2 linked regions of the Oryzias latipes genome follow. Each later gene encodes a partner of the first gene's protein in a complex. Links are inferred from orthologs where the notes say so. Each region holds a gene or a part of one and is shown in the gene's direction. Other genes may lie near its edges. The genes, in order: nbas and rint1.

Region 1 (3,821 bases):
TTTAGGGCCCTCTGGCCTTTTCTTGACTGTCTCTGTCTGCAGCTGTTGTCCCACAGACTCAACAGTGTTTCTGTTAGACTTGATCGTTCTTCAAATATTTCTATCTGGACATCTGCAGAAAGCTTTACAAGTCTTGAAATCAGTTTTCACCCTGAACCAGTCCGGAGACGACGGCGTGTTAGGAATTGTGCTCAACATTTAAATAATTATTTCACAAATTTCCTTCTCTTTCATCATTTTGACAACTGAGAGCGCTGTCGATTTGCTCTGTTTTATGTCGATTTCAGCGTTGGCGCTAAATGTAAGTTAACCTCATGAGAACTTCTAGTGGTTTTAATGCAGCCTAAAGCATAAACTGTTAAAGGATCAGGTGTTACCGACCAGAAAAAACTGCTGTTTTTGAGGAGAGTGAGAGGGAAATTGGGATTGAGCTACATTTATCATGTTGGAACTGAGATAAAGAACATGTGAGGTTTCTCACACAGACTCCTGCAGAAGGCTTTTTGCACTGTCCAATGAGGCCAAGAAGCTTACTCAGGAATAAATGAAGCAATCTCTTTAATGTAATACCTGTAGGAATTGACTGCAGCAGCGCCGAATGCCCTTGGCCTGTTTCACCACATTGTATTCATTGGGTTTGCTTCATTATTTCTGGCTCGCAGTTATGGCCGTGCTGTTTTCACCAGAGTCCCCACTCTGCACAAACCGGGTTTGCTTTGGCCGGTAAAACCTGGCTCGGCAGCCTAATGAGGTTTGGCAGCTACTGTCAATGTTTGCCAAATGATAGATGAGATGAAACATTAATGACTCCTGTGTGAAAACTGGGTCAACATCAAAGAGAACGGAGGGATGTGGAGAAGTAAAGGTGGAAACCCCTGATATGAAGCATGGTACTTTAAAAACACACTAGAAGATGTGCACGCTTTCCTTTTTTGCATAACATTCAGATAAATGTGCTTTAGGAATATTAAAAAAACAAATTGAAGTGAATATTTTTAAGTAAAAATTCACAGGCTATAAAATAAATGTGTCGTATAAGATCCACTGTATGTTTAATTTACAGAATATGTCTCAGAAATGTTTGTTCATTAAATAATTCCACAGATCTGAAATTAAATACTCAGAATTTCTGCACTAGGGGGCACTGTTGAGCTAAACAGGTTAAGAAAACAACTCTTTTCTTTTTTTTTTTAAACTGAGTTTCATGTTTTCTCACAAGAGTTTTACTCAAATATTAGCAAGCATTGCTTTGCTACAAAGCATCCCAATAATGATAATTTTTACTCGAACTTTGACCTTAAACCTTTGTTTCGGTTTTTAGTTCTTGTTGTGAAGCCGTTATTGCTGGTCACGCCACATGTCTTTTTGCAGGTTGCTGCTGGTGGGGGGCTGTGAATCAGGAGAGGACGGCGCCTCCAAGGCCACTCGCAGCGGCCTCACGGCCTGGAGGGCTCTCTCCAGTTCACCGCACTACAAGCAGGTCACCAGCTATGAGGACGATGTCCGCCTGGTCAGGCTTCCACACACAGACATTTTCACAAATGCCCTAATGTTGTGTCCTAATACACACATTTTTTGTGTCAGAACCAGAAGAAAGGCCTCCTCAGGATTCCCAGCTTTAGATTCTTTCCCAGACAGGGAGATGAAAAGGTATGAGAGTGCTCTCCTCCCTGTGAGAATCCTCCAGGCCCCTGACTGTTGTGTTTGTTGCTCAGGACGGCGTGTTTCGTATGAGTTTGAGCCCTGACGGCCGCCTGCTGGCTGTCATCCACTTCTCTGGACGCCTGTCTGTCTGGGACATCCCCTCTTTCAAACAGAGGGCGTCATGGAAACAGGACCAACAGGTACACATCTTAACCGCTTTTAAACTGCGTGGCTCCCTAAGGCACTCATAGTTTTGCTTTAAGTCCCAATTCCATCATCTCTATATCTCTTTTAAAATTGTTCCCTGTGGTCTTTTAATTTAGAATATGCTGTTTTTAGACAAAATCCCCAAATCCTGTGTTGTTTTCTAGGACATAGTTTTTGCAGAGTGGCAGAAGTTAATTAGAAATTCACCTCTGAGTTGTGGGTGGGACTGACCAACCCCACCCTCCCTTCCCATCACCTATAAGTGAGCTATCTGTGTGCACTCTCACAATAGCTCACAGAGCTTTAACCCCTCAACCTAACAGTAACCACGAAAATGGAGGGCAATAGTGGAGCTATCCAGCCGTACAGCTTTGATCCAGATTCCAGCTCAGACTAGAAAAATAAAGATGTACATGGATCTAGTTTTCTACAAGTGGATGCATCAGAATTGAGCGGAGCAGGGAGCTTGTGGCCTGCCCGGCGTACTTTCTGTGTAACAAATATATTATTTTTCAAATGTAACTTTTTTTATCTGCTCCTGATTGTCGACAATTTATAGAAAGGAAAAACTCAGGGAGGCAATTGTGAGCTTGATTTGCTCCATCATCAGAAATTATGCCCCAAAAAATGTTAAAAACACCAAAAGCACAATTTTCATCTGAGTGGATGTTTAAAAAGAAAAAAGGAAAATATCCTTTGTTCGCTTTTCTGCATATATGTTATAAACAAGTTGCTTAACTAGCTTTATTTAGTGTAATCTCTCTAGTTGAGGTGGAAGTGTGTACGTTTTAGAGAATTTCATGCATTTCTCGCTTCCCTGACACCAAAAGCGAGGAGGCTTATGGAAAAGCTTATATTCGCAGGATGTTTTTGCCGACTAATGCGGGGTGTGTGTATGTTCTGCTTCACTGCTGCCAGAGCTTGTGTGCGCTGTAAGAGTAAACAGGGTTAGCAGATTAATTTCTCACCCCCTCTACACCTCCTCCATCTCTTTGGTGCCTCCATCTTTTGGTCCTCCCTGCAGCCGGGATTTGAAGAGATCAACCCAGAGTGGAAGACATCACTGGAGAGAAGGAAGAAAATAAAAGGTATTTGGGCCTAAAGGGCTAAAAGAAGCCATCTTTGTTGCTGATACAGCATTGCACTTTGGATACAATTGAATGATCTTTGACACATGGGATTCGCTGCATTACACAGTTTTTAGGGTGTGCAGACTTTGTATGGTGGGGTTCGCTGGGATTTTTTGTAGTTGAATGTAAACTTTGACAGTTTTGGGCCAGTAGGAATGACAGTTTTGACAGCTTTTGCAAGCAATAATCCATGTTTGTGTCCTCAACTCAAGCATGACAAGAGATTTCAACATCTATAAATATGTCAAGGAGGGAGAAACCAATCAAAAAAATTCTGGTTCAGATAAGAAATCTTCCAAAATAAGAGAGGAGGATTATAAATTTGAAACTCGGGTATGACAGGACAAAGGAGATGTTTCCTCTGGATTTATGTCTTCTCATACCCACCCCAGATAAGGAGCAGTACTACCCACTGGTGGATGTGAATTGGTGGAGTGACGGCGTGTTGATTCTTGCTCGCTGCTCTGGATCAGTCACTGTCTCATCGGTCAGAACATTACGCAACCTTTTGGGGAAGTCCTGTGAATGGTTTGAGCCCTCACCGCGAGTCGCTGCAGCCCATGACGGCGGCTTTCTCAGCCTGGAGGTACGTCCCATGAAAGCTGAAAGAATGAGATTCGAAAAGATTTGAAGGAATAACCCTCCCAGACCAAAATAAAAGGGAAAATATATCTTGTTTGTCCTTTTATCTTAATGACGGCAATGATGTGCCCTAAAAAACCTATTGAAAATTTAAAAATGCTGATCCAAAGTCACAATCATGCAAAAATGCAAAAAAAATGCAGGATAATGTTTTTCCAGCGCATCACATGGACCTTAACTTGGTCAAGCAGCAACCTT
Region 2 (3,627 bases), on another chromosome or scaffold:
GAAAAACTGGTTTGGAAATGAAACGATTAAAACAGATTAAAGTAAAAGCAAAAAGACAAATTTCACTATTTCAATTCAGATTCAGTTTAAAAACGTTTACTTTAATTTTTTTATTTCTATTTTGAAATCAGTTTTGTTTCACTATAAAAAACAAAAAAAGAATATTAAAATGATCAATTCTTACTTTAAAAATAACAAAATAAAGGAAATCACATTTTCTCAAATCAGTATTCCAACTTTTAGTTCAAATGCATTTCAGTCATTGAATCCTGGTGAACCTAAAACACTGAAATCACTTCCCCAAACAAGCTCCGCCTTACCTGTGCAGGACAGACAGACAGACAGACAGGTGTGACCTGTGCTTTCAGTGGCTGTGGAGAAGATGGACGCCATGCTGTCCACTGACGGAGCGTGGAGCTCTCAGTACAAAGACATCAGTGACATGGACGAGCTGAAGGCTCCGGACTGCGCTGAGACCTTCATGACGCTGCTGCAGGTCATCACAGGTGAGAACCCTGCTTATGTTTTGGTAGCTTTCACTTCTCTGAAGACTCCACCAACAGAGACCCCCGCTGTTCTGCAGAGCGGTACCGGGCCCTGCCCTCCCCGTCTGCGCAGCTCAAGTTCCTGGAGCTTCAGAAGGAGCTGGTTGATGACTTCCGAATCCGACTGACACAGGTGAGACCGTCCCTCTGTCTACTCCAGACTTTAAAGTCCCACTCCCATCATCTTTTGATCTAGTGGTCTTTTATTTATGATTATGCCGTGTTTCAAATAAAGAAATACTCAGACAGGCCTTTTTATCTTAATTCTCCATACATATGTCCTCCATCATGAGAAAAATGCTACATGAACATGTTAAAAACCCAATTTTTAACTTTTTTCTACTTTTTTGACAGTTCGGAAAAAAACCTCTTTTTGCTTGAAGGCGACCCACCACAGCCAAATCTTTATATGAATGGATCCATATCCAAATCAGGAACTTGTTATTTGATAATTAGCTTGTGATTTAAAAGACAATCACAGTCCTGTGCAGGAACTTCACACCTGAGGTGGTGGAGTTTATGAGTTGAAGAGAAATCTGAGAAATGTTTGGTTTGAGCAAGGTTCAAAGTATTTAACGCAGTAATGTGAAGGAAATGGAAGAAAGCTCAGGAGTCCGTCATGTGAGGTGGATTAGTGGTCCTGGCTGCCCGGATTCTCCAAGCAGATTGAAAAAAGCGCAAACATTAGAAGGAAGCATTTGTGGTCAGTTATTTCACCACTTATGCTATGTTCACACTGCGTGTTCTTGCGACCACTTCCAATGAAAAGTCACGTGTAGCTACACTAGTTTTTTAAGTCAGTTTTGGGGCTCTACGTACAAATCAATCAGGGACTCTGATTTGGTAGTGATGTATAGATGACGTCTTTTTCAAAACACATACGAAAATCGATCATGAAGGAGAAATAAATGATAGTGTAATGTCTCCGACTGCAATTCTGTGACACCAAGTCTTTCATATATCGGAATAGAGCTGTAAAAGACAAAATAATGAAGCTAGATTCACCAGATTTGCACCTCTTTGACACTTTGCACCAAGCCTCTTCCATCTAGTATCGTGTAGTGACAGTTCATTGTGAACAGCGTATGCTAAAAGTGTGTTCAAGAACCTACGTTCGGCGCATGCTTGAACATCACATGTCGGGGTGTAAGTAGCATTAGAGCTGCAGAAAGGTTTTTATCTTCAGTAATTTACCTGTGTCTACGGTCTGCTATGAACACAACATGCTCGTTTTTTTTTTTAAGGTTTGAGTCCCTACCTTTTCTTGTTTTTCAGGTCATGAAAGAGGAGTCTCGATGTCCACTCGGTGTCCGTTATTGTGCCATCCTTAATGCCGTTAACTACATTTCCACCATCCTGAGAGACTGGGCAGACGACGTGGTTGGTGTTTTATTGAAAAACTCAATATAACTGATACTTTGCCTCTGAGATAACTTCTTCAGGTCGACTTGAAACACCAAGAATTTACAGGAAAGCAAATAGGAAACAAAGCAACACGCTAGAAAAAACAGCAAAAACAACAGGATTTTTATTTGTAATAAACAAGTTAAAATAAATAGTTATAAGGGGAAAATTAGCCAACAGAACAAAAGCCATGTTTATGTTTATTCTTGGTTGTAAAGTATTAGATTAGTACACAGCACCAATGATTTCCAATTCTATGAATTTCACAAGGGGAACATTAATTTAGAACAAGCTGCACATCTGTGCACCGGTTCATCCCGGACGAGCCCCCAATTCTTCTGCAGAGGACTCAGACTTTTCTCAAATCTGGGGCCACGAACGACTGGCACCGCTATATGAATTCAGAATTTGTAGCATGCAATCACACCTTGTATGTCCATCAGTTGATTAGCCTGCCACACTACAGGAATGATGGTAAAACTGTGCTGATACTGCATGTCGGCTGTCTGTGAATCCGGATTTTATCTCTTTGGGTTTTGTCACTGCCCTTTCAGCCGTGCATCTCTTCCTCCACCAGTTTTTCCTGCAGCTGCAGCAGGCGGCGGTGTCGCTGGGTGAGGACGAGGTCCTGGGGGGCCGCAGCATGATGGAAGTGGGTCGCCTGGCTTCTTTGGAGGGATCTCTTTTTGATGGACTCCTGGCTTTGCTGGACCGCTTGAAAGGAGACATGCTGGGAAGACTGCTGGATTTCCTCATGAGAGAAATCTCAGAAAAAGCCAAACCCTATTGTCAGGAAAGGTGAGACCTCTCCCCACTGATGACCTCTGAGGCGGAAACAGGGGTTCACCCCACGGCAGGGCCAGCCAGGACATGCTTGAACGTCTGGTCTCTGACCTGCTGGTTTCTCTGGCAAAAGGCTTAAAATCCCTTTTATTTCAGTTAATTCAAAAATGATTACCCCACATCTCAGGATCCAAAAAGCCTTTTTACTGTGCAGATTGCTGCAGTTTACAGAAGACCACCAAGGTCTGAAGTCCGTGAACATGTGCTCTGACTTTTACCCTGTCCGTCCTTCAGGTGGTTGTCTCTTCCATCCCAGCAAGATCAGTCCATCATGTCCCTGTCGGGCTCGGCCTGTCCCATGATGCTCTGTGTGCGGGACAGACTGCTGAACCTTCATCAGGTTCTGAGTCTTCCTCTGTTCCAGCTGGCGTGGCAGGGCCTGGCAGAGAGGCTTGACCATTTCCTCTACCAAGATGTAAGACGTGAACGCCCTCAGATGCCTGCGCTGGTCAGGATGGGGGGGGCTAACAGGACAACAAAGATGGGAGCATTGACAAAAGTTTATGTGGAATTGATCTGAGAAGGAAACAAAGCAATGAATCTGTTTACTAAAGACATATGGGCTGTGAAATGAGCATTTAATCCAAGGGGGGGGGGGGCATAAAATAACCTAGATAATAAGCATAGGTTTATGAAGCCATGTTTTTTTTTAACCCTATCAAAAGCAGAATGCTTCTTCAACATTAAATGAAACACTGACCTGCATGAGCCTTTTGTCTGGAAACACTGTTGGCCGCTACGTACATTTTGAGCGTATTGCACGGATGAAAATTGGTCATACGTGAATATACGTGGAAAAGGGAGAACAGTTGTGGTCTGTACGTGAATTTTTTTT

What was found.
Region 2: nbas (region 1) and rint1 share a complex: the UniProt entries of both Homo sapiens proteins name them as parts of the NRZ complex. The link is inferred for Oryzias latipes from reciprocal best matches to the Homo sapiens genes NBAS and RINT1.

Annotation. Positions count from the first base shown.
Region 1 is NC_019882.2:14,745,746-14,749,566, reverse strand, and holds part of nbas (neuroblastoma-amplified sequence), read left to right. Parts: intron 1-1,371; coding exon 1,372-1,510; intron 1,511-1,584; coding exon 1,585-1,650; intron 1,651-1,715; coding exon 1,716-1,844; intron 1,845-2,875; coding exon 2,876-2,939; intron 2,940-3,373; coding exon 3,374-3,567; intron 3,568-3,821. UniProt on the Homo sapiens protein: Involved in Golgi-to-endoplasmic reticulum (ER) retrograde transport; the function is proposed to depend on its association in the NRZ complex which is believed to play a role in SNARE assembly at the ER. Required for normal embryonic development.
Region 2 is NC_019881.2:11,299,282-11,302,908, forward strand, and holds part of rint1 (RAD50-interacting protein 1), read left to right. Parts: intron 1-368; coding exon 369-506; intron 507-583; coding exon 584-678; intron 679-1,820; coding exon 1,821-1,925; intron 1,926-2,526; coding exon 2,527-2,747; intron 2,748-3,026; coding exon 3,027-3,207; intron 3,208-3,627. UniProt on the Homo sapiens protein: Involved in regulation of membrane traffic between the Golgi and the endoplasmic reticulum (ER); the function is proposed to depend on its association in the NRZ complex which is believed to play a role in SNARE assembly at the ER.